Arabidopsis thaliana: one gene and its partners. The protein of the gene in region 2 interacts with the protein of the main gene of each other region in a biochemical or structural test. Each region holds a gene or a part of one and is shown on either strand. Other genes may lie near its edges.

The links.
Region 1: the proteins of PSBP-1 (region 2) and WAK1 form a complex in vitro, tested with the Arabidopsis thaliana proteins (one study listed by BioGRID).
Region 3: the proteins of PSBP-1 (region 2) and DEG7 form a complex in vitro, tested with the Arabidopsis thaliana proteins (one study listed by BioGRID).

What each region holds. Positions count from the first base shown.
Region 1 is NC_003070.9:7,433,463-7,444,711, reverse strand, and holds WAK1 (cell wall-associated kinase), read right to left. Parts: upstream 5,542-11,249; 5' UTR 5,201-5,541; coding exon 4,357-5,200; intron 4,272-4,356; coding exon 4,098-4,271; intron 4,010-4,097; coding exon 2,820-4,009; 3' UTR 2,599-2,819; downstream 1-2,598. Other genes in the region: AT1G21245 (Protein kinase superfamily protein), read right to left, coding at 7,370-7,870; WAK3 (wall associated kinase 3), read right to left, coding at 8,010-9,199, 9,273-9,431, 9,533-10,409. UniProt on the Arabidopsis thaliana protein: Serine/threonine-protein kinase that may function as a signaling receptor of extracellular matrix component. Binding to pectin may have significance in the control of cell expansion, morphogenesis and development.
Region 2 is NC_003070.9:2,043,333-2,053,586, reverse strand, and holds PSBP-1 (photosystem II subunit P-1), read right to left. Parts: upstream 5,954-10,254; 5' UTR 5,648-5,953; coding exon 5,401-5,647; coding exon of another isoform or gene 5,397-5,400; intron 5,291-5,396; coding exon 5,058-5,290; intron 4,968-5,057; coding exon 4,917-4,967; intron 4,662-4,916; coding exon 4,401-4,661; 3' UTR 4,148-4,400; downstream 1-4,147. Other genes in the region: AT1G06700 (Protein kinase superfamily protein), read left to right, coding at 1-212, 297-429, 515-601, 712-837; AT1G06690 (NAD(P)-linked oxidoreductase superfamily protein), read left to right, coding at 1,548-1,788, 1,894-1,985, 2,063-2,103, 2,191-2,355, 2,433-2,455, 2,556-2,627, 2,717-2,884, 3,031-3,113 and 2 more; NIH (nuclear DEIH-boxhelicase), read right to left, coding at 6,254-7,714, 7,801-8,880, 9,011-9,997, 10,102-10,191. UniProt on the Arabidopsis thaliana protein: May be involved in the regulation of photosystem II.
Region 3 is NC_003074.8:795,447-806,012, forward strand, and holds the start of DEG7 (DegP protease 7), read left to right. Parts: upstream 1-4,053; 5' UTR 4,054-4,273; coding exon 4,274-4,559; intron 4,560-4,848; coding exon 4,849-4,919; intron 4,920-5,062; coding exon 5,063-5,197; intron 5,198-5,455; coding exon 5,456-5,514; intron 5,515-5,715; coding exon 5,716-5,752; intron 5,753-6,074; coding exon 6,075-6,200; intron 6,201-6,653; coding exon 6,654-6,743; intron 6,744-7,185; coding exon 7,186-7,251; intron 7,252-7,345; coding exon 7,346-7,402; intron 7,403-7,525; coding exon 7,526-7,591; intron 7,592-7,815; coding exon 7,816-7,923; intron 7,924-8,242; coding exon 8,243-8,323; intron 8,324-8,669; coding exon 8,670-8,719; intron 8,720-8,875; coding exon 8,876-9,041; intron 9,042-9,442; coding exon 9,443-9,919; intron 9,920-10,476; coding exon 10,477-10,566. Other genes in the region: AT3G03360 (F-box/RNI-like superfamily protein), read left to right, coding at 59-60, 186-819, 934-1,116, 1,182-1,472; AT3G03370 (uncharacterized protein), read right to left, coding at 1,977-2,148, 2,259-2,437, 2,998-3,117, 3,237-3,328, 3,402-3,435. UniProt on the Arabidopsis thaliana protein: Probable serine protease.

The DNA of each region.
Region 1 (11,249 bases), 5.4 Mb from region 2:
TTAGTGGGGAAACCGATTTAATTTTGTTAACAGTGACACTTATTTTCTTACTATTCAAAGATTAAGACAGTTGCAACTTGCAAGGAATCTTCAATTATGAAGACCCTCTTAAGTCAACTTCAGTCTCGGTCCTCTCTTCTTTTCTCGATATTACAAGGCAAATTTACTCTTTTTCTTAACAGTTAATTTCACGCTCAAAATATGAAAATTGCCTTTTAAAATGACGATATAGGAATTGAGACTCCTGAATCCTGATCACAACATGCTCTGTTTTCTTATGATGCTTTTATTACGACTTGTTTTTTTCCCCACATTTAGACATTTTGAGTCATAAAGCATTATGCCACCAAGATCAGACCCTCTTGCAACTTCATCTTCTCCTTCTCTCTTTGTCTCACTAAATTTGTTTCTCTTTGAGTTTTCTCTCATCTCTCCGTAGCATCTGCTTCTTAAAGCTAAGAAAACACACTCCATTCTTGATATGTTCTCTTGACTTGCTTCCGTTGACTAGTCCCCATTTTCCCAATAATTGCAGGAATCTGCAATAGTAAATATTATTTTACAGAGCCGGACCAATGAAATTCGGGCCATTTAAATTACGAAAACAAAGTACTTTTGTCTTTAAAACTATAGAGTAAATAGAAACCAATTTAAACAAAACTCTGAATTATTTATTTAATTGTATGTTAGATTTATAAATATTTTGGATCACACTATTATTTAAGATTAATATGTATAAAACTAACTATTTCTCCTATTAAAAATCAATATATATATATATGTATATTTAATTACAATAAAATTTCTGTGGGACCCTTTTAAAATGGGAGCCCCATTAGAATGTTTCATCTTCATGTGCTATGGTCCGCTCCAATATCCTTCTCTTACTTTTCTTGATTTCCAGGCAAATTATGTAGACCACCTTCACCTAACCCTTCTCTTCCCTGCTTTTTTATTTCCACTGTCTTTTAGAATTAGACCTATTGGTAGTTAAGACAAATGATAGTTAAGATTAGGTTTTCCAAAACTTCCACAATGGCTTAATCCTCATAGATAAACGAGCTTCTCGATGATTATCTGCAGCATACAGTTCAATGAAATCTTGTGCATATAATACCTTCTGAGCAAAAACAAACAAAACACTCAAAATATGAACAACAATAAAAAGAAATAACACATGTCAGAAAATGCAAATCATCAATGGTAAGATAAAAAACTAGTTTGCTTGATGTTGAAAAGCCAACGCTTATATATTGATTCAAAGAAGAAAAAAACAGAGTCTGTCAAGCTCTTACACATTAAGGTCCTTGAAGAAAAACAAGGTTCGGGTGAGATAGAGACGCACATATCGTGTATGAGTCCATTATGAAGAAGGAAAGTTGAAGAATGGGTGGTATACATTTTGGGGGAAATGATTTCACCAACCTTGTTGGTGCCAGGGAACTCATATCAACCAAAGGGAAGGGAAGATCAACTGTTTGCTTGGACCAATCATGTTTATTGACATCCTCTCTAGTATCCACAAATCAAAACGTTGGAAAGAAGCATATGCGTTTCTTGCAATCGACGCTAGCTTCCCTAGGGGCTTTGTTGGGCTCCGGAGGGAAACTCAAGGCCCATTAAGCCCAACTCTTTATCTTTTTTTTTTTTTTTTTTTCTCTTTCTCATTTTGAAAATGATTTGTTTAATGTTAGTCAAAATCGAAAGGGATAAAAAAGGGCAAGCCCTAGAGTTTTAGAAGCAGAGCTCAGTGACGACAATGGCGGAAACTATCAAGAGCGTATCTCCATTATCCGACCCCGATTCACCGTATTATCTCCCTCCAGATATTAATCAACCCTCCGATTTCTCTATCGAAAAACTCAGCGAAGCCGAAGACAACTACGTCATCTGGAAATTTCGATTTCGCTCTTTTCTCGAACTCACGAACAAAATCGGTTTCATTGACAGTACTCTCCCGCAGCCAGAACCTTCCTCGCCGCTCTATCATCCATGGAAACGATGCGACACAATAGTTAAGTATTGGCTGATGAATTTGATGAGCGAAGAGCTTGTAAAGTCTGTGATGTACGCGAAGACTGCTCATCAAGCGTGGGAAAATCTCAGACTTAGATTCGTTCCTTGCGTCGATTTGAAGATCTACCAGCTTCGTCGGAGGCTCGCGACGTTGAGGCAAGGTGGTGATTCTGTTGAGGAGTATTTTGGGAAACTGAGTAAAGTTTGGATGGAGTTGTCGGAGTATGCTCCTGTACCTGAGTGTAAGTGCGGTGGTTGCAATTGCGAGAGTACGAAACTAGCTAAAGAAGCGAGAGAGAAGGAGCAGCGTTACGAGTTTTTGATGGGGTTGAACAAAGAGTTTGAGGTTGTGAGGATAACAATCATGCTCAAGAAACCTCCTCCGCCACTTTACGAAGCTTACAATATGGTTAAAGGAGCAGAATTGACGATGAAGAGATACAGGAGATGAAGAATTTAGGAACCAGGTTCATGATCATAACTTTCTCTATATGTTATGCATTTCTTTTTGTAAAGATTCTAGTGTTTCTTATCTAGTTGTTTTTGATAACATCAATGTCATATGGAATAAGATTTATGAACTGATATTGGTAATCTGCTATTTTGCAAAAGAGTTTCTAAGTTTGCCTATAACCAGATTGGCTACTGGTTAGTATACCAATGGGAATTACAAACATGGTTATTGATGATTTATAAAAATTCTTTCAAATCATTATTAATGAAGCAAAGCATTATTGATGAAGCAACAAAGAGGTAGTTTTTTTTTTCTTACAAACAAAAGAAATACATGTGAATTTGTAATATCAGCGGCCAGTTTCAATGTCCAATATTGCTACATTCTTGATGCTGTCATAGCCAATGCTGCTACTGGTTTCGCCTTGTGCTGACAAGATGTGACCACCAATCAAGTGTTCATTCTCCTCAGGGTACTGATCCGACCACTTATGTTTGGTTTTTTCGACCCTCAAGGCTTCTAGCTTTGCAGCTACTTCTTTCATCCTTGGCCTTTCCTCTCCCATTAGCCTTGTACACTCTGCAGCAATTCTTGCAGCTTCCTGGATCTCCTTCAGATTATCCTCGTTCATCACTTCGCCGCCAATAATCTCATCCAACCTATTCTCTTTTGTGGCAGTCGCAAAGTAACTCACCAGATGTTTTGAGGACTGTGGCCGTTTAAAGCACAATGCCTTTTGACCTGAGAGCAGTTCCATTAGGACGACCCCAAAACTATAAACATCGCTCTTTTCGTTTAACAACCCTGTGTTGTAATATTCTGGGTCTAGGTAACCTAGAGTGCCTTGCACCATAGTTTCGAGCTCTTCTTTATCCATTGGTATCAGCCTTGAAGCACCAAAGTCAGCTACTTTTGCAGTTAAGTTTACATCCAGAAGAATATTTGCAGTTTTGATATCCCGATGGATGATTGGAATAGAAGCAGAGGAGTGAAGATATGCAAGAGTTCCAGCGACTTCTATTGCTATCTTCAGACGGTGTTCCCATGTAAGCGAAGAATCAATCATGGAACCATGCAAGTGATCGAAAAGGGTGCCATTGGTGATGAACTCATAGACCAACAAGGGAACTTCAGTCTCTAGACAGCAGCCCAAGAGCTTGACTACGTTCCTATGGTTGATTTGTGAAAGCACGAGCACTTCATTGATGAACTGCTCTACTTGGCTACTGTCTCCAAGTCGGGCTTTCTTTATAGCAACTATGGAGTTGTCCGGCAATATCCCTTTGTACACTGTTCCTTGGCCACCCTGACCCAGGATCCTGCTCTCAGCATAACCATTTGTTGCTTTCTTCATGCCATCCTCAGTAAAGATTTTGACATCAACATTTGACGGCCCTGCTCCTGAGAGTCGTTGTGTCAACATGCCGCCACCATTTTGCTCGAAGAATTGTTCTCGGAGCTTGGTGTCCTTCAGGTGCTTCATTCTCTGTTGTATACAGGCAACGCCAAGCAGAATGACCAAGAAGCCGATGGTGGTTACTGATCACACACATCGTAGATTCAGAGAGATGATTATAATAAGTTGATCTGGGAAACATCAAGTCGAGAAATAGTGAGGGAAACTTACCAAGAAGAATTGTAGTCCATGCAAACTCTTTACGCTTGCAGCTCATAGTGGTGGTATCTAAGCGGTAACCAGATTGACACTTACAATAGAAGCCTCCAACCTTGTTTCTACAGGTTTTGGGATCCGAACAGTTATGTCTATGGATAGTACTACTAGTAGTACACTCATTGACGTCTGGCACAAAGAAAAAGAACGCAAGATTCAACAAGATATGTAATGGGAAAAATATTACTACTCAGAACATGAAAGAAAGAAGAACCTTGGCAACCAGCTGAAAGGTATGGATTCCCATCAAAGCCTTCATTGCATCTGCAGATATACCCGTTTCTAGGAGTAGAATCGAGACAAGTGCTGTTCCCACCGCATATGCTTGTGCTTCCAACTTGCTCGCATGTCTGATTTCCAACAGACCAATCTAGTAACACAGGGAACCTCATGACATTTCGCAGATTCAGAAGATCTTCTGTAGAACTGAAGTTGAACTTATCATCTTCAACGAGAAAAGCGTAGGTGCAAGGACTAAAGTCGTGAAAAGAAGTCATGTGCTTGATGCGACCTGATGTAGTTTCGAATGTATAGCTATCCAACGGGGCAGAAACGTCGACTCTGCAGCAACCTCTACCATTACATTCTCCATCAGCCTCTGGGGGAGAATCGCATAATGACAAGCATGCAGTTGAGTAGTTTTGCATTCCAAAAGTGTCCAGAAGTGATAAAGCGTTACAGCCTACTGCAGTTAACTTGTTGTTGGCGGAAAGAGATAAATTTTCCAGTGTAAAAGAACTGTCCTCCTCAGTTTTTTTTCCTTGCTCGTCGTAGCAAGTAGAGGATCGATTAAGCAGAACTTGTAGCTGGCCGCTGTGATTAAAGTTTGCCACTTCAATGTCGCTTAAGACATGTGGCCTATCTTCCTTACAGGTGATACTGAAACTTTCATTTCCGGGATAGTAACAACCTGAAGAAATGCCAAAAGGGTACTCTATTGTGATGTTGCCACATTTATTTTGGCAATTCTCACCAGGTTGATGTTGCCCCTTCACCAGCTGCGTACACGCAAGGGAGAAGAAAATAGCCACCAAGAACAAACCCTCCTGCACCTTCATCTTCTACCTCTCTTCTCTCTTTATTTCTCTCTCTCTCTCTCTCTCTAACTCTGTTCCTCTTTTGAGTTTTTTTCGCTAATCTCCTTGTTCTTATAAGAAACAACTGTATACGAGATGTTCTCTCTCACTCATTTTCGCAGGCCCCTTCCCATTTTCCCAGAAATTGCAAGAAGACTAAAATTCAACTACACAACCAACGTAACCAGTGAAGAGGACGTTTAAGTACGCTGCTGCTTATTCCTGTATAGTATCCTAACATCCACGTTTGCTTCGGTTAAACAGTGACAACTATAGTCTATAGGTCTCGGTCTTCTCGTCTTTTCTTGATATCTTGTTCGTTAGTGAGGACAACTACAGGTCTCGGTCTTCTCGTCTTTTATTGATATCTTGTTCGCTAGTGAGGAAACCAATTTGCTTTTGTTAATTAATAATAGTGAGTGACACTTACTTGCTTACTATTCAAAGATTAAGACAGTTGATAGTTGGAAGGAATCTTCAAATGTCTTGGTCCTCTGTTCTTTTCTGGATATCACAAGGCAAATTTACTCTTTTTCTTAACAGATCTTTCCACCTCAAATTAAGCTTAAACTAATCTTAATTATATATTAATTAGTTAGACGATATGAAAATTGCCTTTTAACTATAATGACTATATGTAGAAATTAAGACTCCTGAATCCTGTGATCACAACATGCTCTGTTTTCTTCTGATGCTTTTATTACGAGTTTTTTTTCCCCATATTATAACATCACATTTAGACATTTCGAGTCACAAATCGAAGTTTAAGAGTTTTACATTTAGATGATTACAAAGAGAAGAGTAATATATATATACCTGAGCAACAAGAAGATGACATACATGTCAATTGATCTTTTACTCCATAAGAAAGGAAACATACATTTACCTAATCTTAAGAGTTAAATATATAGCTCATGTTAACTGAATAACTACGATAATGACGATGAAAACGGATTTTACATGTTTCTCCGGATCGTGGGACATTAGGGCATCTCCATTAGTTAGAGACTAACTAGGTCTATGACTAGAAAATACTCTTGTTTTTTGTAAAACTCTTCTTCTTTTTATTAAACGCAGGTACAAGACAAAAACTGATTCATCATTGCATAAATTGAGTAGTTACACGAAAAAGCAAAGTCTAAAGACATCATATCGATACATTGTCAGTGAGCTGGACAAAAACTCACTACTTTCCTCTCCCTTTGTCTAATTGAATCATATACACAAGTTGAAGTTCAGTCTTGGGACAGAGTAAATCACTTTTGCAGCATGCAACCAAAGGTAAAAGCATTACCAAACATACAAGTAAAAGTTAAAACTGAGAATTGAGATTCCTTTAATATTTGAGTCTGCACTTTCCCCAACTTTTATCTTCATCCACTGAAGTTGGTTCTAAGATAATTTTAGTCTGAATACGTGCTTGGTATTATTAGTAAGTCAATAAACATGAATTGGGGTAATCAAATGGAAGTAGACAACAAGTGATCATGCTTTGATTGGTGACTAACCTGCCAATAATCGTAGGATTGCTGACTAACACTTACTAAAAATCATATATTTTAACAAGAAACAAATTAAGAGATTTGATGTGATATACAATATCAAGCAATCTTATGCAACAAGAATGATGGGTTGTAGATGAGTAACGAAACATGATGACTCAAGCTGTAGATCAAATATGAAGTTTGCACCAAATGAGTCTTTTATTTTTTTAGTTTACCAAGCAACTAACAAAGAATCATATGGTTTGGTTTGAGGAAGCGGTATCTACGATGAACTCGACCAGGTGCTGAAGATTTCGATGATCATATTCATAGTATACTTACTCTCCTCTGTTTTTGACGCCTACTTTAAATTCTAGTGTTTTTTCTTCTCGAGTTGTTTTGTTTTTCTTTATAATTAAGCACAATGATATATTAATGTCGTATGGAATCATATTTATGAACTCTAGGTAGTTTTTCTAATACCTAATCAGCTACTGGTTAGCATATAAAAATATAGGAGAATTGTGAACATGAGTATATATGGATGATCTACAAGGATATCAATGTTTTTGAATGTCATGTTTTGATATTCTGGTTATGTTTATAAAGACAAAAGGAGATAAACAATAAAGAATTAAACAATATACTTTTTAACAAACAAAATTTATCAGCGGCCAGCTTCAATGTCAAGCAATGCTACATTCTTGACGCTGTCATAACCACGGCTATTGGTATCGCCTTGGGAAGACACGATGTTGCTACCAAGCAAGTGTAAATTCTCCTCTCGATACTGATCCGACCAATTATGTTTGGTTGTTTTGACGCTCAAAGTTTCTAGCTCTACAGCTACTTCTTTCATCCTTGGCCTTTCTTTTCCCATTAGCCTTGTACACTCTGCAGCAATTCTTGCAGCTTCCTGGATCTCCTTCAGATTATCCTCGTTCAACACTTGGTCGTCAATAATCTCATGCAACCTATTCTCTTCCGTGGCAGAAACAAAGTAACTCACCAAATGTTTTGAAGCCTGTGGCCGTTCAAAGCACAATGCCTTTTGACCTGAGAGCAGTTCCATGAGGACTACCCCAAAGCTATACACATCGCTCTTCTCGTTCAGAAGCCCTGTGGTATAGTATTCTGGGTCTAAATAGCCTAGAGTGCCTTGCACCATAGTATACCAAGTAAAGGAAAATATGAACATGATTATTGATGATGAACAAACAAGCTCTCAAAGCATATTGATGAAGCAACAAATAAGTGGTTTTCTTTTTTTACAAACAAAAGAGATACATGTGATTTTGTGAGCAATATCAGCGGCCAGTTTCAATGTCCAATATTGCTACATTTTTGATGCTATCATAGCCAATGCTGCTACTGGTTTCGCCTTGTGCAGACAAGATGTGACCACCAATCAAGTGTTCATTCTCCTCAGGATACTGATCCGACCACTTATGTTTGGTTTTCTCGACCCTCAAGGCTTCTAGCTTTGCAGCTACTTCTTTCATCCTTGGCCTTTCCTCTCCCATTAGCCTTGTACACTCTGCAGCAATTCTTGCAGCTTCCTGGATCTCCTTCAGATTATCCTCGTTCAACACTTGGTCGTCAATAATCTCATGCAACCTATTCTCTTCCGTGGCAGAAACAAAGTAACTCACCAAATGTTTTGAAGCCTGTGGCCGTTCAAAGCACAATGCCTTTTGACCTGAGAGCAGTTCCATGAGGACTACCCCAAAGCTATACACATCGCTCTTCTCGTTCAGAAGCCCTGTGGTATAGTATTCTGGGTCTAAATAGCCTAGAGTGCCTTGCACCATAGTTGTGAGCTGCTCTTTATCCATTGGTATAAGCTTAGAAGCGCCAAAGTCGGCTACTTTTGCAGTTAAGTTTTCATCCAAGAGAATATTTGCAGTTTTGATATCGCGATGGATGATTGGAATAGAAGCAGAGGAGTGAAGATAAGCAAGAGTTCCAGCGACTTCTATCGCTATTCTGAGGCGGTGTTCCCATGTAAGAGAAGAATCAAAAATGGAACCGTGCAAGTGATCGAAAAGGGTGCCATTGGTAATGAATTCATAGACCAACAAGGGGACTTCAGTCTCTAGACAGCAACCCAAGATCTTGACCACGTTCCTGTGGTTAATTTGTGAAAGCACGAGCACTTCGTGGATGAACTGATCTACTTGTCTACTGTCTGCAAGCCGAGCTTTCTTTATAGCAACGATAGTGTTGTCCGGCAATATCCCTTTGTAGACTGTTCCTTGACCTCCCTGGCCCAAGATTCTGCTCTCATCATAGCCATTAGTTGCCTCTTTCATGCCTTCCTCAGTAAAGATTTTGAAATCAATGTTTGACAACCCTGCTCCTGAAAGTCGCTGTATCAACATGCCACCACCATTTTGCTCAAAGAATTGTCGTCGGAGCTTGGTATACTTCCTTTGCTTCGTTGCATGTTGTATACAGATCGCAGCAAGCAGGAGGACCAAGACGCCGATTATGATTACTGATAACATCATGCATAGATGATTAGAGCGAGTTGATTTAAAGAGAATCTAGAACCAGTGAAGAGTGTTTACCAAGAAAAATTCGAGTCCGTTTGTATTCGGGCCTCGTGCAGCTCATACTGGAGTTTAAGTCGTAACCAGATGGACACTTACAATCGAAGCCTCCATCCCTGTTTCTACAGGTTTTTGGATCCGAACAGTTATGTGTATCACTAATACACTCATCGATGTCTGACCAAAGGAATAAGTGCACAAGATGCAACCAAAAACGTATGAGGAAGATTATAAACACTCAAAAGAAGAAAGAAAGCAAAGAAATTAATATGAAGTACCTTTGCAACCCTCTGAACGGTATGGATTCCCATCATAACCTTCATTACATTTGCAGATATACCCGTTTCTAGTAGTAGAATTGTAACATGAGCTGTTCTTACCGCATATTCTTGTGCTTCCAGCTTGCTCACATGTCTGGTTTCCAATAGACCAATCTAGTGCCACAGGGAACCTCGTGACATTCCTCAGATTCTTAAGATCTTTTGAAGAATCGAAGTTAAACTTACCATCTTCAACGAGAAAAGCGTAGGTGCAAGGATTAAACTGATATACCGAAGTATTAAATAGATCTAAGGAATTATTAACTTGGTTTCTCAAGCGAACTGAGCCAAATTGGAATGTATCGCTATCGAACGGGACAGAGAAGTCCTCTGTTGTGCAGCAACCTACACCATTACATCTTCCATTTGCCTCTGGTTGAGAATTGCATAATGACAAGCATCCAGTTGAGTAGTTTTGCTTTCCAAAAGTGCTCAAAAGTGATAAAGCGTTACATCCTACTAAAGTAAACTTGTTGTTGGAGGAGAGAGAGAAACTACTACCCAGCTGATACCCGAGGGCAGTTCCATTAGTCTCATTTTTCTGCTCGTAGCATTCAGAGAATCGTTCAAACAGTACACTTACATGGCCACTGTGAGAAATATTGGTCACTTGAATGATGCCAAAGAGTAGTAGCTTCTCTTCCACGACACAGGTGAGATTGAAATTATCATCTCCGGGATAGTAACAACCTGTAGAAATACCAAAAGGGTACTCTATTGTGACGTTTCCACATTTAAGTTTACAATCTTCGCGAGGTTGATGTTGCCCCTTCACAAGCTGAGTATATGCAAGGAAGAAAATAACCACCAAGAACACACCCTCCTGGAACTTCATCTTCTACCTTTCTCTTTCTTTCTCTCTAAACTTGTTTCTCTTTGAGTTTTCTCTCATCGCTTATTCGCTTCTTATAGCTTGAAAAGTAACCCCTGATTTGACATTGTTGAATAATCAAATGTGAAGAAAAGTAAAGATTCAGACTACTAGACGTTAGAAAAATATAAATGCGTCAACTTCTTTATCTGTCCTTTCTTTCTTGTCTTGATTTTTCCAGGAAACTCCAATTTATTGTTCATATATGAAAGTCTCGTTATAGTGACAATGTAGGAATAAGACTCATCATGATCACAACATGCTCTGTTTTCTTCTGCTGTCGTAATAGTAGAAATATGTAGTTTTTTTGTGTGTGTGTGTGTGTTGAGTTTATAAATGTCAACAAGTTTTCGAAGAATTTGAATAGTTCTTGCCTCATGTGTCATGTCGCTGCTTACTCTTCAAGAGGTTATCTATGAGAAATTTCCATGCAAATCCACCACTTTGTTAGAAACTGAATCTCCTTCTAGAAACAGAACAGAGTTAAGAACAGAGAAAGAGAATCAGACTTTGTATCACAATTGGTTTGATCGTCAACATAACAATAAAGAGAAGAACTTGTCTTTCTATTATAGAGAAAGTGAAATACAACAACTGTTTTACAAGGTTTACAACAATTAACTTAAATACAAACCAACAGACATGAAAAGTCAAGAGTTATGACTCTTCTTTCTTGTGACACAACAAACATAACTACTTTAACTTAACAGACACGACACTTAAGTAATATATTACAAACCAAACTCAATTACGACCAGCACTCTTTCACCGAAAGAAACCAGATTCATTCAAAGAAACTGAGGG
Region 2 (10,254 bases):
ATAGCGGTTGAGGCAGCTAGGGGTTTGGAATACCTCCATGAGAAGTCTCAGCCTCCTGTAATCCATAGGGACATAAGATCTAGCAATGTCCTTCTTTTTGAAGACTACAAAGCAAAGATTGCTGATTTCAATCTCTCGAATCAAGCACCTGATAATGCTGCCCGTCTTCACTCAACAAGAGTCTTGGGGACTTTTGGTTATCATGCTCCAGAGTAATGTTTCTTAAGCCCTTATTGTTTTGTATTCGTATGAATGTCTAATAAACAGCTAAAATGTTAATCCGCCCTCTTATGCAGATATGCAATGACTGGACAGTTAACTCAGAAGAGTGATGTGTACAGCTTTGGTGTTGTACTTCTAGAACTTCTTACAGGGAGGAAACCGGTGGATCATACCATGCCTAGAGGTCAACAGAGTCTTGTAACCTGGGTGAGTATACATACGTTCTGGACTATAATGTTTCGTATTAATTGTCCCCTTGGCTTTACAATTTCATTTTATTGGCTGTGCTCAGGCGACACCAAGACTCAGTGAAGATAAAGTGAAACAGTGCATTGATCCAAAGCTAAAAGCCGATTACCCTCCAAAAGCAGTTGCTAAGGTACCTCGATACATACAATAGTTTCATATTCATGTCTATTAAATTTCCGTTTTCGATATATTCGTGTCTTTGAGATTGACAGAATATGTTATGTTGGCAATATAATGCAGCTAGCAGCGGTGGCAGCATTGTGTGTGCAATACGAAGCTGAGTTTAGACCAAATATGAGCATAGTTGTGAAGGCGCTACAGCCTCTCCTGAAACCTCCAGCAGCAGCTCCAGCACCAGAATCTTGAAACTTTTAAATCTTTTTTTTCGCTGCAACTATCAGAAAGAATCTACATAGTACCATTTGCCATAAATGATAATGAGGTTGGTTTTGAGAGTGATAACTACTATTATTAAAAGATGATATTATGTTTCATTTGATGATTTGATTTTGCACACAAATTTTGTTGTGCTAGAAAGAGAGAGAGATAATTGATGGCAAAGTTTATTGTTGCCGTTTGCTGAGTGGGAGAGAAAGGAACTCTGATTTTATTTATATGATCCCTCTTATTCCTATTTCTCTCTACCTTTTGGATTAATAACCTCAAAAATTCGAATAACTTGATCATTGAATATTTGCGTTAGTCGTGTATGATAATTACAATGTTTTAGTTTTCTTAACAAATCGTTACCTTCTTCTTCTTTTTGTCGTCTCTTATTTATGAAAAAAAAAAAAAAAAAAAAAAAAGAAACAAGCAGCATAACAAAGCTAAAAGGCCCAACTGAAAAGTAAATAAACAAAGGCCCAACCAAGCCCAAGAGAAAACCAATGTCAGTTTTGTTTTTTTGTTTTTGAATTTCACCGGTTATTCATTAAAGAATTGTTTGGCCCGCCAACAACATACGTGTCCATATCCACAGTCTCTCACCTCTCGCAGTGCCCAAACCTCTTCTTCTTCTTCTTCTTCTTGGCTTCTCCTCCTCCTTTTCCAATTTCAAAACCCAAAAACAAATCAGCATGGCCATGGCTACGCACTTCACCTTCCCTTTCAACTATGTTGTTTCCGAAGGCTCTCATGGAAGAAGAAGTTTCGTCCGGAAGCTGGTCAGAGCTGTAGCCTCCGGAGATTCCGTGGCTCCGGCGATTTCGGAAGAATCAAAAGTGAAATTGGGTGGCTCGGATTTGAAAGTGACGAAGCTTGGGATCGGAGTCTGGTCTTGGGGTGATAACAGCTATTGGAATGATTTCCAGTGGGATGGTCAGTTCTCTTAATTTCGATTCTCAATTTTATACATTTTGTGAAACAAAAGTATTGAAATGAATTAAAAGTTAATCTCTTTTTTTTTATTCTCTGTGATGGTAGACAGAAAATTGAAGGCGGCTAAAGGTGCTTTCGACACCAGTCTTGACAACGGTATTGATTTTTTCGATACCGCAGAAGTTTATGGTTCCAAGGTAAGCGTAAGAAAGCTGATCACTCTTCGTAAATTGGTTTATTCTGAAACTAATTTGGAAATCTCCATCTTTTATAGTTTTCCCTGGGTGCTATAAGCTCTGAAACTCTTTTAGGAAGGTAATTTGTTTCGAAAACATATAACAGTGTGCCACACTATCCTCATATATATTCCTCTTGACTGTCATTGGTGAGATTTTCGAACAGATTCATCCGTGAGAGAAAAGAGAGATATCCCGGAGCTGAGGTTTCGGTTGCAACCAAGTTTGCTGCATTGCCATGGCGATTTGGTCGTGAAAGTGTTGTCACTGCCCTTAAAGATTCCCTTTCCCGGCTTGAGCTTTCATCTGTTGATCTCTATCAACTGCATTGGTATGCACCCCTAATTCATGTTGGAGTAAACAACACTAGAAGGTAACAATCTCACTATTTTCTTAATTATATTTCAGGCCAGGACTATGGGGAAATGAAGGTTTTTTCTTAAGAGCAGCACTGAATCTACTTTTAACTAGAGTTCGTGTCACTTTTGGTGATTATATCAAATCCATTGACATTGTGAGTTATGTTTTTAGGATATCTTGATGGTCTTGGGGATGCTGTTGAACAAGGACTTGTCAAGGCTGTTGGTGTTTCTAACTACAGCGGTATCATTTCAATCTGTTTTTTCCTTCTCACGGATGCATATCTTATGAACTTTCAAATTCATTATACTTACTGTTGTGCGATTTTTCAGAGAAGCGGCTTCGTGATGCTTATGAAAGACTCAAAAAGAGAGGAATTCCTCTGGCCTCAAATCAAGTCAACTACAGTCTGATATACAGAGCTCCAGAGCAGACTGGTGTTAAGGCTGCTTGTGATGAGCTTGGAGTTACTTTAATTGCATATTCCCCCATCGCTCAAGGTAATCTGCCTTTATCTCCTTTGCGTTGTGTTCATGTCTATCGTTCTCTAGAAAAGTTGCATCAGGCTCTTATAGTATTGACGCAAAACAACCTGGCTAATGAACACATACATTTTCCGTTATTTGCTCTTTTGTCTTTTTTCCAGGTGCTCTAACTGGTAAATACACCCCAGAGAACCCACCCTCAGGTCCTCGGGGTCGCATTTATACGCGTGAGTTCTTAACAAAGGTAATAGCTTTCGCTGCATATATCTAAGTTATTTAACACAGGCGTGTATGTCTGCAAAACCATAGTTACATCTGAATAACCCTCGAGTCTTCTAAGAAACAGATTTTTGGATTTTGATAACTTGTATATCTCACTGTTATAAACCTGTCGATTTTCTCCTCTAATCCTGCTTTTTTCTTAGTAAGTTCTGTTTTGAGACAAAGTATACACTTTTATACAAAACACAACACCAATCAATGTACCTATACAGAAATTATCAAAAGGTAGCATAATAGTGCCAGGTTTCTTCACTAACTTTGACTTGTGACGTTACAGCTTCAACCCCTGTTGAATAGAATCAAACAAATTGGGGAAAACTACAGCAAAACTCCCACACAGGTTCTTTCCCTTTTCCTTATGCACTCTGTTTTTCTTTTTCCCTGTCCAAAAACGTTAAGAAAAATACAAAAGAGTAATTGTGTGATCCATATTAAGCTATCCAAGTGTACACCCTCGATTTTGCATCAAATCATATGCCTTCTTGTTTTGTTGTGTTGTGCTGTGCAGATAGCATTGAACTGGTTGGTGGCACAAGGGAACGTGATACCCATCCCAGGAGCCAAGAACGCAGAACAAGCCAAAGAGTTTGCTGGAGCGATAGGTTGGAGTCTGACAGACAATGAAGTGAGTGAGCTACGGTCCCTGGCCTCTGAGATAAAACCCGTCGTTGGTTTCCCTGTTGAGTATCTCTGAACTCTTAACACTCTGTTTGTAGCATTTGTAAAGCTCAAAAGTTACAATATGAACTAAAAGTAGTATATAGATGATGGTAAAGTGTTGTAATACATATGCAAATAAAATCTTTTTGCCTCTTTGAGAACTTTACAGTAGCCAAAAAGAAAGAGGAGGGCCTTTGGCATATGCTTCAATAGATCTAGTTAGAGTCAGACGTCAAAATTCATCTGCGTTTTAACCTTTCTGTTGACTAGAAGAACCATTTGATGCTTACCTCTTTTCATATCAGCTTCAAGCAGGCTTTCTTCTCACTATCTTTGTGCTTTCAAGGATTTAGATTTAGTCTATAGCTTCTTTCTGAGTCAATATCTTATTAATTTGAGAAAATATCTATTGAATATAGTTGTTTTTTAAGAAAACTTGGAAAACGAGTCTGTTATCATAGGTACACAAGTGATGCCGAAAAGGTAACATCATCTTGATAGTTCTCAAAAGCTCAGTTTCATTTTCCATTTTTTACAAGAGACAAATGAAGAAAGCAAGCAGAGCATTGTTACGTTGTGTTGCTTTCACTCAAGCAACACTGAAAGAAGTGGCTGCGCTCTCGACAAATTTCCTGGCTCCCTTGAACCACCTCTTGTCTCCAGCTTGTGCTTTGCAGATGTAAAGCTTCCCTCCATTCACGGTTGCTGTGATCAGCTGATGCTTCCCACCTTCGTCTCCATCAGCCGTTCTTGTCAACACAGACAAGTAATAGTAGGGTTTCCCACCAACTTCCTGAGATGATGACTCCAGAATGTTTGCTGTTGCCACTGCATTGTTGTCAAAGCCTCCCTGTAAGAACATCAGATTCACACACACACAGAGTTAGAACTTGATAACTCACTCCACCTAAGGTAAGAATCTTTCTTGTAATAATCATCGACTACTAGAGAGGTCTTTGAAGGTTATCAGTTAAAAAAGCTTTTGAGTTTTGTTTTATCAGTTAACAACGAGGGAGACAATGTGTTCTCTCTTTAGTGTTTGATTCTCTTATTCTATTCTATCAGCTTCTGGTTTACTTATAACAAATAACAATGGGAAGTTTACCTCAGAGGCAGTCTCACCGAAGTAAGCTTGTTTCCCTAGGAGGTAATTAACCTGCATAAAGCCCAAATCACCACTCAGTCTCACACTTCATTAGATTTTGTAACATCAATACCTTTACAGATGATGGAGTAAAGCAAAGACCTGAGAGAGGAACTCTTCGGGAGAACCGTAATCAGTGATGGACTTCTTGTCGGTAGGAGTGACCATGACATTGAGATTGCTAGTAGCATCGAAGTTGTCTTCGAACCTAAGGACTTGTCCTGGATACTCAATCTCTTTGCTTGGGTTCCATTTTGCTGGAACCTGCACTTTGAACCCATCTCCATTGTATGGCAAGAAGTCTGTGTTCGTCTTTGGCTTCCCAAACACGTTTGCTGCAACAAACCAAAAAATAAAAATAGGATGAAAAAAACACAATATGTTCTTCAAGATTCTTCTTCAAGAAAATGAAATGATCCAAGGTTATTTTATTTTATAAACGCACCAGCTTCACCGTAGGCGGCATCAGCAGGAGATACTTTGGAACCAACAGCAGCGGCGCCGACGAGGAGAGTGAGAGCAAGACGGCGGGAGACGGCGGAGTTATCGTCTTCATGAGACTGTTGAGCTTTACAGATGATCTGAACAGGTTTGGAGAGCGACACGTGACGCTGGGATGAGGAGGAAGATGATGATCGTGCGGCTGATGAAGCCAATGCGCTCTGGTGTAGGAAACACGCACTGTACGCCATTATCTCTGTCTCTCTTTCTCTCTTTCTCTCTTCTCTCCTTGTGTGTGATTAAGTTATGAAAGTGTTTTTTGAGGATTGTTGGTGTGTTAATGTATGGAGGTGAAACCAAGAGTGAAGCTGATTGGTTGGTTTCGGATATTGGAGGATCTCTCTGTTGATGTCCAGATAAGGCTGTTGAGGTGTTGTATTGTGCCACGTGGCAGATACGCTTTCTTCTTGTTCCACGTCAGATTCATAAGCCTTCGATTCCATCTATTTTAGTATTTTACTCTAAAGCCATTCCATGATCAAATCTTTTTTCTGCTCACACTAAGACACTACAGTACTGGATCAATAATGGCTTTTCTTCTTTCAGTTACATGCGTATATCTTAAAACGTTTATAACGATAGAACAACGGAAGCACTAAGTGAGAATGAATACAAATTATCTAACAAAATTGTTGAAATTAAGAATCTGTTACACTTATGTAGACAAGTGCCATTTCAAAACTTGGTTTCATGACAAACACCGAAATGCTCATTAAAACACCAAAGTGGAATGGGCATCATACTTCCCTTCTTCTTTCGGTTTTGCTTAGGTTGGTGCAGTATTTGAGCCACACTGCTCATTGATCGGAAGGTATGCTCGGTTTTTCCTCAATCAAACCTGACTTGTTTCCCTGGCTCAATACATTAGTGGAAGGCATTTTCTCTTCCATATTGTTAACCGAATCAAAGTTGTTAGCTAATTTGCGCTTTTTCTTTTTTGGTTTCTTAGCTGGAGCAGTGTTTGAGTCAGGTTGCTCATTCCCACTGACAAGATTCGAAGGAATGCTCTCTTTCTCCTTACCCGGATCCAACCTGTTGACTGACTCAGGATCTTTTTGCTCATTTCCGTTTGCCAGATCAGAAGGCTTGTTTTCTTCCATGTTCCCCAAGTCCAGGTTGTTGACTGATTTGCACTTTTTGGACCTTGATCGCTTCTTTTTTGGTTGCTTAGCAGCTTCCATTGGAGCAGTGGTTGGGTCAGGTTGTTCATCCCCATTAGCAAGATTCAAAGGCAAGCTCTCTTCCATGTTACCATAATCCGAGTTGTTAGGTAGCCTAAGCTCTGTTTGCTCATTCTCATTAGCCAGATCCGAAGGCGTGTTCTCTTTCATATTCCCTAAATCCAAGTTGTTGGCTGACTTGGGCTCTGTTTGCTCATTCTCATTTGCCAGATCGGAAGGCTTGCTCTTTTCCATCTTCCCCAAATCCAGGTTGTTGCCTGATTTGCGCTTTTTAGACCTGGATCGCTTCTTTTCTGGTTGCTTAGCCGCTGAAGCATCTTCACCTGGAGCAATGTTTAGGTCATGTTGCTCATTTCCATTGACGAGATTAGAAGGAATGCTCACTTTCTCGCTACCCAGATCCAACTTGCTGACTGACTTAGGCTCTTTTTTCTTATTCCCATTTGCCAAATCAGAAGGCGTGTTCTCTTCCATGTTCCCTAAATCCATGCTGTTGGCTGAGTTAGGCTCTGTTTTCTCATTCCCATTGGCCAGATCAGAAGGCGTGTTCTCTTCCATGTTCCCCATGTCCAAGTTGCTAGCTAACTTCGGCAATGTTTGCTCATTCCCAATAGCCAGATCAGAAGGTGGGTTCTCTTCCATGTTCCCGAAATTCTCTTCAATGTTCCCCAAATCCACGTTGTTGAGCGACTTGCACCTTTTGGACTCTGACTGCATCTTCTTTTGTTTTGTAGCCGCCGAAACATCTTCCACTGGAGAAGTGTTTGGGTCAGGTTGCTCATTCCCATCAGCGAAATTTGAAGGCAAGCTCTCTTCCATATTACCCAAACCCAACTTGTTGGCTAATTCGAGCTTTGACCCCATTGGAGTAGTGTTCGGGTCATGCTCCCGAAGCTCATTGGGGTTAGTGGAAGGTATGTCATCTCTGGGACTCGTTGCATCTACCACTGAAGTAATAGGTTGCACAGCTACAGTTTGAACTGAAGATTGTGCGAGGCTATCATATGAGAGAACAGAAGCTATTGCATACATAGAAGCACCGAGATGAGGCGGCAAATTTTCCTTTGGATGTTTAACCTACAAATGCATATGGAAGGTTGAAAAGGATGACATTGCCAAAATAAAATAATGAAAATCTTAAATCGTAGTGATAACTCATGTACCTTGAACAAAATGGACGCCATTAGTCTCTCTCTCAAGATGTACATTTGAGCAATTTCAAAAGCTGTAACCTTGAAAGGCAGCCACCGATCCACTACTACTTTTACTGAATTTTCCGGCCCAAGCATTATTTTCTCTCCAGGCCTACCAACTTCTTTATCTATGTCCATCGCGTCTCCTACATTTCCTACTTTGTGGTCTTCCTCGTCATCACTCTTAACAGCATCATAGCTCTCTGTAGTAGAAACGGCTATCTCTCTTGAAAACAGTAACACAGGTATAGTGGGAAGAACAGTGCAGCTCCTTATCACCACACCCCAATCTCCTCGAGTGATCTCATCAAAAACAATTAAAGCTTCGTCAAACTTGGTAGAGGACATGTCAACATTGTTTGATAGCGAGGGCACACGGACTTTGGCTCCAGCAATAGTCTCTATTACAGACCTTGTCCGATTCTTGGAAAGTGGGCACATCCTTCCCAACATAGGGTACAATCCAACTGCTATAACAGCACGGAGAATACCCGGATCATGAGCATTCAGGCTACAGTTTGAGCTGCTGCTAGGTATGACCCCATGTCTATTAAGTTCTCCCTGAAGCTTGCGACACAGATCATCCAGCCTCTTCATGACAACTTGGGAGATGAAGTACTTAGAACAAAACTCCTTAGCTTGACCACTTGCTTTTGCATTTTTCCAGCACTGAAAAGCCGCGACAGTGGCAAGATGATCACTGTGGTCTCCATAAAGCGATGCAAGTTCATGTTTTGCGGCAGCAGCCTTTTTTCTATCACCTGGCGACAAGGGCATGGTAAACGGATCCTTCTCGTCAGCTGCACATGCCAGAATAAGTGCTGGATCCAAACAGTTCACTAATATGGCGAAATAAATCATCTTGCTAATCCGAGGATGAACTGGAAGCTGACCAAATTTCTGTCCAAGTTCAGTCAGCTCTTCTTCAGGAGTCAAAGCTCCAATATCTTTAAGGATGATTAATGCATTTTCAATACTTTGAGCAACAGGCGGGTCCATCAATTTCTGAAGGAAATCATTTACGTTGCAATTCGGATCCAGCATCTTAACCTGAACATATTGATATTATAGAAGGACATCAGTAAGAAATCAAGAACGCAAGAAGTCTCAAACAGGACGCTACCATGCATGAATGACAATTAAACATCATAGAAAAAATCTACGTTAGAAAGAACAGCACCTGCAAGCAGAGTTCATCCACTGGCATTCTCATAACTTCAGGAACTCTATATTCGGGCAAAGACGCTGCCCGGAGTTTAGAATATAGATGATAACAGATGCCAGCTTGGCAACGGCCTGCTCGGCCTGCCCTCTGTTTTGCATTTGCTTTTGATACCCAAGAAGATTGGAGCGTTGACACGTCATTATAGGGATCATAACTCTTTTCCTTCATCCGACCACTATCTATCACATAAACCACATCATCGATGGTAACTGCTGATTCAGCAATATTTGTTGCAAGTACAATTTTGCGACAACCACGAGGGGGGCGATTAAAAACTTTCTTCTGTTCCTCAGCTGGAACCCTTGAGTGAAGACATAGAATGATGAATTTAGCACTATGTGCAAAAAACCGATCATCAAGCAATTTCTCTTTTGTTTTGCTTATTTCCTCCCACCCAGGTAGAAAAACAAGAATGGCACCATCTTTTGAATCGCTGCATATTTTCTTCATTAACTTCACTATAAGACCCACATCTACTTCTTCTGGTTTGATTGTCGCCATATACTTATCAAGTAAGTCTTGTGCTTGCTGAGAATTGGACTGGATGTTACCCGCATGTTCCCTGATTATTTGAGCAGTTTCAAATTGATTCTCCTTTTCAGCTAATTCTAATGCTGTTATACCTTCTTTGGACTTCAGTGTACAGTCAGCGCCGACTGAAAGGAGCTTACAGACATCGCTAACCCTGCCCTTTCCAGCAAAGACCATAAGTGGTGTTAGGCCTGTCGTTGAGTTCTGGTAATTGTAAGCCTCATGACTTCCTTCAGATGAAACTAGATCTACGAGACAATCAAACTCATCATTTGTCCATGCCAAGTCGATTGCTTCATCCAAAGAAACTTTATCTTCATCTTTAAAATCACGTTTGACAGCAGAAAGTAGATGACTATTCTTGTCTGAATTCAGGACAGAGAGCGCATCATCCAGAAAAAAGGTTCTCACCTGTAGATACGGACGCAAAAATATTGTTTTCCAATACAATGAGACTAAGAAGCAAATTCTATAAAGAGACGGATAGAGAGAGACATAAAGAGAGAGGAATTAACTGGATAAGTGAATCCAGGTACTCGGACAACTGGACAACCTCCAAAATATTCAGAAAACCTCTCAGCATCAAGAGTAGCACTCATCAGAATCTGTTACCATAGAAAATATTTATTCTTATACTGTATATGTATCATAGCAATGGAAAACGAAGA
Region 3 (10,566 bases), on a different chromosome or scaffold from region 2:
TCCTATCTTCCAACCAGATTGGCGATCAAAACTTCCGTTTTATCCAGGCGATGGAGGCATGTATGGTCTGATACATGGTCCCTCTCCTTCCATAGGGACAGACCGGATGCTCCTTGTATTAACAGAATCCTAGATCGCTACAGGGCTCCCAAGATGATGAGTTTTCGTATCTGTTCTTGTTGCAGGGCAGCCTGTATCAGCAGACCCGACACGCATGCTGACATCGACAGTTGGATCAACTTCGCCATGTCCCGAAACGTGGAGAATCTGTCCCTGTATCTCGATGAGGATAAATATGATATCCCTGAATTCCTTTACATCAATTCCTCTCTCAAGCAACTCTACCTTGATTTCGGCTGCAAAAAGGATTTTATATCTCTGAATCCCAAATGTTCTGTGTCTTGGACATCCCTGAAGAACCTGTCATTGTATCATTGCAACATCTCTGATGAATCCATTGCTATTATTCTATCTGGTTGTCCCATTCTCGAAAGCTTATTGTTGTTTTTCTGCAAGAAACTGAAGGTCCTTGATCTCAGCAAATCACCGCGTCTGATAACATTAGAAATCACTCGTAGATGTCGAATGGAGCCAACACAGCTCGTTGCACCACATATCCGTTGTCTCAGATTGATAAACTCTGAGAAACCATGTGCTTTAGTTGATGTCTCCTCTTTATCCCAAGCTGAACTAGACATTACCGCTTACGCAATAGTTGATAATAAACTGGAGGCTGATTTTCATCAGACCATGGTGGTAAAGATGTTAGAAAAGTGTCAGAATGTGGAGAAGCTTACTTTGGGGGCAAACTTTCTTAAGGTATATGTTTTCACTCCTGATTTAGTTTACATAATTAGGCTCTGATTTTCAAGAAAACTAGTGTGTTTTTTGGTATACACTCATTTGTCTTCTGTTTTTTTTTGTTTGTTATAGATGTTATCTCTTGCCGAGCTCCGTGGTGTTTCTTTTCCAAAGTTGAAGGCTAAAGCTCTGATACTTGAGACAATGATCTCTCGATATGTTATTCATGGTATAGTAAAGGTGCTACAAAACTCGCCTGACTTGAAGAAGCTAACCATACACCCAATGGGGTCTGCCGGCTCATATCCCATACCGGTAATTATGAATATTCCTTGACCCCGAATTTTGAATCATCATATTGAAATATACTTGCATTACAGGAAGAGCATATTGACATATACTTGGATTCTCATGGCTTGAATTGGGATCCATCCTGGAGCTCGGAGTTTAAGAACACTTCCCGCAGGAATGTAGAGTCAAAGCAAGTGGCTTCGTTTCTGCAACTTGTGCTTAAAACCATATCAACATTAGAGTTGATTGTCGCAAGGTTGGAAGGTTATATCAAAGGAAGACGTTTTGTAGAGTTGCGTCAGATGGTTCCAATGCTTCCTCGCAACAACGATGTCTCCATTGTGCTCAGCTCAAGAAGAAAACGATTCAGAGTGACTTAAGTCATTTTACATTTAAGTAGTACACTAGATGAAAATCTCTTGTTTGTTTTTCTTACTGAAATAATCGAATTCTGTTAAATTGATTTTAAGTTGTGAAATTGTTTTTACGTTTTACCATTTCCAATCTACTGGCTAACCTCGGAAAAACGGTCTAGTGAGCGAGCATTGCCTTGAGAAACAGTACCCGCCAAATCCAGCTCTCATGTACACAGTTTGATATTATTTCTTTCCAGTACTTTTGATTCAGCAACAGAGAGTTCTTTTCGGGCTATGTAAGAATCAATTTGCATTGTCTGCAGCCTATCCGGTGGGGAGCTGAGCCAAGGAGCAAGATTTGCTCCATATCCATTTTCTTCAATTCTAGTTATGCATGCCTTGAGATCCACGTACCTAAGATAAACAAAGAATCAGTCAGAGGTGACAAACCTAGGACAAAAGAAGTTGCGGAATCGAACAAATTTTGGCCTAAGGAACAGAAGCAAGGCATATCAAATATCACAAGTCTCAAGGTCTTGGATCTCTCTGAGAACAATCTTGATGGATCTCTCCCTTCATCTCCTGGGATACAGGCATGAAAGAATCTCTCGTAAGTTCATCTTCGCTTTTGCGTTTCATATACAGCTTCACTATCGTAATACATAACTTAGCAGTGAACTGGAAGAATTCAAAGCAAGGTCTTGCCAACAATAACGTCTGCCTCTACACTCTGATAGACCTCTCCATAACAAGCTATTCGGAGAAATCCCATATTCTTTAGGCAATCTCAAAAGCTTAAAGCTTTTAAACCTCTCATACAACGACATCTCTGGATTGATCCCACAAAGTTTTGGAAATCTTGAGAAGGTAGACCTTTCACACAATAACCTCTCAGGCGAAATCCCGCAGAAACTATCCAAGCTCAGTGAGCTGAATGTATGGAGTTGAGCAACAACAAACTTATAGGTAGAATCCATGAGAGTCCTCAGCTAGACAGATTGAACGATCCGAACATTTACGCAAACAACAACAAAATATGTGGAATGCAAATCCAAGAACCATGCTCGACACAGACCAAGCAGCCAGAGAAGCAATGTTTTCATGGAAAGCTGCAGTCATAGGTTGTCCTTGTGGAATTCTAATGGCAGTTGTCTAAATGTATATGGTTGGCTATTTCAGAGACTCATCACCACCACCAAGGCGATCTCTCAAGAACAGATGACTGAAGAAATCAAAATCTCTGTTTTTTTTAAAACGAAATGGAAGATTATTCAGATGCTGTAACATTGAAAAATAAAACAGTCTGTTAGCAATCCCTATGAAGTGATGTTATCAAGAGAGTTAAACAAAGTAAATTGTCAAATCACTTTCCAAAAAGTTGTATTTTGATCCTCTGTTTTTTACTCGATGAAAACAGAATCGTTTAATGTAAACATTGGCAGCATATAACAAATTCACAAAAATCTGTGTCTTTTTGGTGACATCAAGGATTTTAAGATAACAGCAGAGATTTGTTAAGCAAAAAGATTGTTTAAACAAGAAATATCACCTTCTTGCGATGACGATCAGTGTGAGACATATATTCCAATGGAACACGAGCACCCCTAGAAAGCTTTGAAAGAACAGATACTAAATCTCCAAGACCGGAAATGTCCTCATTAGCAACCTTCTTTATGATACAAAAATGGTTGCAGATACAATTTCCATCTTACTTATCCTCACTCCTAAACTTAACAACTGCATACAAGTAGCCAATGCACAAAGTAATATCTAGCTACTTTACTATACCCAAGAGGGATCTAGAATGTCAATTGCATAGAGTCCATGGTCATCATCAGGGACCAATACTTCAATATTATCATCCAACGGCTCTGTATAACCTGCCAACAAAATAACATTCAAGTTCAAGATCTGCTTCATAACTCACTTTTCTAAAAGTCCATAGTCAAACACAGACAAAATCTTCTAAGTGATCCTCATCAACCATTTGCTTTCAGATTTTGATTTTGGTGACAGGAATCGATTTGAGAAATAACCCCAAAACCTGAAATAGAATCAATTGTATCTAAAATGGGATTGAGAGACGTCAAAATTGTTTTGAATAGAATGAATTGTACCTAAAAACAACAACTTTCATCAGATTGAGAGAAGAAGACGAAAAACTAATATGGAGCTAGCAACATGTATACTATTTCACTTTTTTTAGAGTTTTTCAACCAATCAGAAGGCTGTATTTCACCCCCACTCTCACAAAGTGAGCGTTGAGCGCGTGAGAGCACTTCTGTGGGTGTACCCCTTTGGAAATCATGCCTTTTTTAATCTACGCACTCCTCTCTGAAATCCCCATCGCGTGCAATTGTTTTTGTTTTCTTCTCTTAACCAGTGTAAACCGAAACCAAAATCAATTCTAATTTAAACCTAACCGAAAAATCAATTTCAATTTCATATAAGAACTCCACTATCAAATTAACAAATCATATAAACGTAAGTCTTTAAGTATAATATTTTTATTAAATCGCGGTACAAGCCTAGTCAGAATATACTGTTTTATTTTTTCCAAAACATAAATTATACTATAATTTCATTTTGTCTTAACAGATATTTAATTTCATTCTATGTGCTATACTCTAATACTTAACAACTAATCGGAGCACTAAGAATATACTAATAAAAATCGCTTAGAAAGGCAAAACAAATTACTATCATCAGATTTCTTCCCCAATCTTCTTCTTCATATCCTTGAAGGAGAGAGTATAGAGAATCCGATCCAAAAACCCTAAACCCCATTTCCCGCGGATTTTCTCCCAAGCTGATACGGAGATCAAATGGGAGATCCGTTGGAGAGGTTGGGTTCTCAGGCATCAATGGCTACTGAGTCTGTCATGAAGGAGGACTTGTGTTTAGAGATCGATCCTCCCTTAACTGAATCCGTTGCCACCGCTGAAGATTGGCGTCGTGCTCTCGGTAAGGTTGTTCCCGCCGTCGTTGTACTCCGCACAACGGCTTGTCGCGCCTTTGATACCGAGTCCGCCGGTGCTAGCTATGCTACTGGTTTTATCGTTGATAAGCGACGTGGGATCATCCTCACCAATCGCCATGTGGTTAAGCCAGGTGCGCCTTTTGACTTGTTGAGAAACGAGTGTCAGAAGATTAGCTGGGTTTCAAGAATTCATAAGAGATGATGTTATTGTTGTGGAACTGTAGAACTGATCATGGTTTTTCAAAGTATTTGTTTTTGGATTGTTCGATTTTCCATAGGTATTAGTTACATGTTTATCTAGAATGGCTTAGCTCGATATGGATATGGAGATTATTTGGTCATTCCTTCTGGGTTTGAGTAGACAGAGAATCTCTTTAGAGTTCAGTAAAATTGATTTGTAAATTCTTTCTTCTTACGTAGGCCCAGTAGTTGCTGAGGCAATGTTTGTGAACCGAGAGGAAATCCCAATCTATCCTGTATACAGGGATCCGGTAAGTCATTTCGGTTTATGTTCGATCAAATGAGCATGCATCTGCAGGAGCTAGAATTTGTGTCTCATCTTTTTATGTTTACTTTTCTCCCTTCTCGACTTGTCCATTGTCATCAGGCTGACATTCTTTGGTATTCTTTTCAGGTCCATGACTTTGGCTTCTTTTGTTATGATCCCAGTGCTGTACAGTTTTTGACTTACCAAGAAATTCCTCTTGCCCCAGAGGCGGCTTCTGTTGGACTCGAAATTAGGGTTGTTGGAAATGATAGCGGAGAAAAGGTAAGATACATAGGATGGCGGATTACTTCATATTTTAGACTGTATTTTTCAGTTTCATGTTATAAAAGCAGTCACTTACTCAACTTAGCTCTCAATTTAAATTTTGATGAGGTCAGAACTGTCTATCTATTGTTCAAGTTATTCTGTCAAATGTCAAACTTAGGGTGCAAAAAAAAATGCATTTTAATATATGTTTGGTGCATTAAGACGCATTTATGGATAAGTAATGCTTCTGGTAACTGGAGTGTTGATTTGCAGGTTTCCATACTGGCTGGTACTCTTGCGCGGTTGGATCGGGATGCTCCACATTACAAAAAGTATCTCTGCTTCACTGCTCATGTTTTTTAGTTCTGCTTATTCCTCAACATGAAAATTTGTTTGATGTTACTTGATACTTGCATGAAATCTTCGTAATTTCATATAGGTAGTAATTGTTGAACTAGTAATATACCACCGGTACCTTTTATAGTTTCTTATGGCTACCTGCTTTGTAATTTTTATTTTATTTTTTGGTGCAGGGATGGTTATAACGACTTCAATACGTTTTATATGCAAGTAAAGTGACTCTGTCCTCTTTAATATTTATTGCTTTAAATTTTAGTCACTAACTTATTTTGAACTGAATTGCATGCTGTCACTCTGTGTCAAAGCCTTGTTTTCTCTTCTTAGTCGTGTCATGCTTATGGTTAATCCCTGTTTCCACAAAAATGTGTCTCTTACTCGTATTTACTCTAAAATATCACGAGTCTACCACTAGGGTAAAACTTTCCTGTTTGTAGCTTATTGTGCAATACACAAGTATGTTATGCTACTGTTATTCAAAGTGTAAACCTTACACATACGCTACTGTTTGTTAATATGGTATCTGTGTTTATAGGCAGCATCAGGTACTAAAGGTGGTTCAAGTGGTTCTCCCGTCATTGATTGGCAAGGCAGGGCAGTAGCTTTGAATGCTGGCAGCAAGTCGTCAAGTGCATCAGCCTTCTTCCTACCACTTCAACGAGTGAGCAATCTCTGTTTCTCGTATACTTGTATCGATGGTTCAGTTACGACTAGAATCGAGATGGTGTAACTTATTTAGTCACTGAAATAACCCCTGTAAATTCAGAACATTAGATTATTGTGTAGCTTCTGCTTCTGTCAAAGTTAAGAATTGATAAGTGTATAAAGCCTCCACTAGAGGGTTGTTTAATGTGCTTGGTATTCCGAAAAATAGTTCATGCTGGAAGTGTGTACAATGTTACGAATAAACTACACATCTACTTCAGATCTCTTCTTTTCATGTATGGGATCCTGAGAATCTAGTAGGAAACACTGGGAAAGTCAGACATGGTTCTGGATCTCATTTTTTTTGTTCTTTACAAATCATTTTGTATTTCAACCCCTATATTAATTTGAAGTTTAGTTAGAAATTTGCTTAAGACTTTTGACCAAGAATGGTTCTCTTGTTTGGAAGGTTGTTAGGGCGTTAAGTTTTCTCCAAAAAAGCATTGACTCGCGGACGGATAAGCCAAAAGCAGTTCATATTCCTCGTGGTACACTTCAGGTTTGTTTTTCCCTCTCTGATTTTTGAGACTCTTCATAGTGCCGTTACGAAAATTTCCGCGAATATCAACTTTTGACTCTTTTTTAAATAGCTGGGTTCAGTTTATTGTCTGAAAAACTACACATACCATTACATGTACATGGTATGTCAATTAAATGTATGCGATATGAATGTTGTGTTCAAATCCTAGAGGGAAAATATATACGTTGAAAATCGTGAATATTACTTGATATCTGAATGACCATGGAACTTTGATCTGGACTACTGTGGCTGGTGATAGAAAGAATATCCTTGGGATCTGAAATAGTTCATGGTTTAATTTCTATTCACTTTCCAACGATTGTTAGATTTGAGATTCAGAGGAAGTTCAATATCTCTTACTTAATTATTAGTTCTGGGGTTTTCTTATGTAAGCTTTTATCTGTTTTCTTGTGTACTTTAGATGACATTTCTTCATAAAGGATTCGATGAGATACGGCGACTTGGTCTCAGGAGCGAAACTGAACAGGTACATACTATTCCTTCTTACCATCATTTAGGGCATCAGCTTTCCTCGTGATGCTCACTAACACCTTACAAAATGCTATCTCTTGATCGTGTAGGTGGTTCGACATGCATCTCCAACTGGGGAAACAGGAATGCTTGTTGTCGATTCTGTGGTGAGTGCATTGCTTTATTAATAACATTCAATACAATAATTATTTTCAAAGAATATGGCTATTGTTTAAGTGATGGTTAAATTCGAAACTTTTTATCCTAAATTTGATATGTCGTGATGGTAGGTGCCAAGTGGCCCTGCTGATAAACATTTGGAGCCGGGAGATGTTCTTGTTCGGGTGAATGGAACAGTAAGTTGTCTTGATTGCATCTTCTTAGTGAGAATTTAAATTTTTTTTGCCTCAAGTAATCGAGAATTGTGATATCTTTTGCGGCAACATTAGTAAAGAAACGTATTGTTTAGAGATTGGTTATTACCTGGCCACAGAACGTATTAATCAGTGCACTTAGATTGTCTAGTTCCTTTTTCCTCAGTTTGCTAAATCTTCCTTTATGCGTTTGATTGTTATTACAGGTGCTCACACAATTTTTGAACTTGGAGAATCTGCTTGATGACGGTGTTGGCCAGATACTTGAATTGGAGATTGAAAGGGGTGGACAACCACTATCTGTTAGTGTATCAGTGAGTTCCATTCTTCTATTTCTAACTTTGGTTTTATGTTCCTCGTAGTCTTCTAGGATCTTGTGTTTAGTTTCTGCCCTGTCACATACTGACTAGAAAAGCAGGAGACTATGCAAAGACTAGAAGTAAAATATATGTAGCCGTCTCTTCTCTTTTATTTTGGTCATTAAATTTGTTCTTGTAGCTCTTTTCGTTTCCCCTGATAGATGGAGTTCCTCAATACTTAATTTGCATTTAGAATTCTGCCTTAATGTGATTTATACTTCCTATCTATCATAAAAATCAAGAGCCTTATGTGTTTGTGTATTTCCTGCCACAGGTACAAGATTTACACTCAATCACTCCAGATCACTTCCTGGAAGTAAGCGGTGCTGTAATTCATCCGTTGTCTTATCAGCAGGTAACTTAACTATGACTTGAAAAGATATTATCTGGAAATTTCTGTGCCTGCATGCATGATATTCTTGTGTCGTACAGGTGGAACTGTTGTGTTTAATTATGGCTTGTAACTATTTAATGTTCTATTAGTTGGAGAATCATATCAACATGCTAGATATTTTATTCATAATAAATGCTGTGGATCCACTTTATCCCCCACACTGTCTTGCTAGATCTGATTATGGAAGCATAACTAAGTGAAATAGTGATGTGACTACACTACCTCCTGCTAATAAAGAAGCTTACACGTATTTCACTGACACTTTCTTATTGGCATTAGCTGATCTTAAAATATTGTGATTTAACAGGCTCGCAATTTTCGTTTTCCTTGTGGCCTGGCTTATGTTGCGGACCCTGGGTAATTCCCTCTACTTCCGCCATCAAAATTTTCACGTTTTCTTGATTTATTTTTGACTGATGTGTCAATATTCTGACATGTGAGCTTATTGTTAATGTAAATGATTACGTGTCTCTGTATTTCTGGATTTACTTTGAAGAGCTCTTTTCTATTCAGATACATGCTATTTAGAGCTGGGGTCCCTCGACATGCTATCATAAAGAAGGTTGCTAATGAGGATATTTCCAGTCTTGGAGACTTAGTATCTGTTCTTTCAAAGCTTTCTAGGGGTGCTCGTGTTCCATTGGAATATATGTCTCACACTGATCGTCATCGCAAGAAGGTGATATTTCTTGTTTAAACAATCTTTTTGCTTAACTTCCTAACCCACTGTAAGCATATACTTGTCAAAATTTGATGCTAGCATTTATATATGATATTTTCTTAGGCTACTCCATATCAGCATCTTCATTCTTGCAAACAGTTTGTTGATTCTGTGATAATATTACCTCTCTACTCGGTGTTCCTAGTGTGTGAAATTTTGTGCTACTGCAGTGCTGCTAGATCTCTGTGATCACTTTTTACGGAAAACCGTTATCTTTAAGACTATAATTTTCACAACTGTGGATCTTTTTGCGTTAGCAACGTTCCTGTTATTAACATGCTTGCTTGTCCACGTTTCGTTTTGAACTCTATGTTAATACTCAAACGAGAAGTACTTATTGTCGGGTTCCATTCCTGCAGTCTGTGTTAGTCACGATTGATCATCATGAATGGTACGCTCCTCCTCAGTTGTATACCCGTAATGACAGTTCCGGTTTATGGGATGCGAAACCTGCAATTGAACCTGCTTCTGTTTCACCATCTATTGGTAATAATGGCTTTCCTATAAGCCAAGATATTTCTCTATGCCATCACGATACGGAACCCATGCATGAAGTGAATGTTCGTGGGGTTACTGATATTGCAGCGATTATGGAAACTTCTAGTGGGGATGGTTCTCAGAATGATTTTGGCTCAGAAGCAAAGAAACAAAGAGTTGACGAGGATTCTTCAGATGGGATTGCTGCAAACGGTTCCTTATATGGCAGTGAATTTAAATCTGATGATGCAATGGAAACAGATACTACAGTTTTAAGAGACTTCGAAGGTGCAACAGCACTGTCTGCTAATGCTTCATTGGCTGAGCGTGCTATTGAGCCTGCACTTGTCATGTTTGAGGTAAAGACGAAAACTTCTCTCAAAGTTATCAGTTTCACCAGCTGTTGAAATTTAATACTTTTTATGTGGTGTGCTATTTCTCACTGTTTCTTTTTTGATTCTTAGTAGTCAATTGATTTTTCATTCACAACATTTGATAATACTTGAGTAAGTTTGGGTGTATCAGTTGATTCAATAATTTGCACAGAAGATGGGTGTGTCACTGAACGTACCTGTATAAAATAGTATACAATGTTGACTTCAAGGTTCAGAGTTCCTACATCATCAAAGAGTACAATTTGATAACACAAAGTAGTTACTTAGATTATTTCTCAAGAACATGTTAGATTTGGTAACTACTTTTACAAGTCTGATAGATAACAATCTATGGAGGCTACAAGAAAACCATAGATGTATGACCTGGTGAACTGAATTACTATCTTGGTTAAATATGTTTCTGGTATATGCAATTTTAACTATTTCTTTATATCGTTTTTTTGGTAAAAAGTAATTATACAGTAGTTCTTATTGTGATTCAAGGCAACTTGCATCTGTTGAATCTAAGTTCTCTTATACAGGTTCATGTGCCACCATCGTGCAGTCTTGATGGTGTACACTCACAACATTTCTTTGGGACTGGCATCATTATATATCATTCTTCTAACATG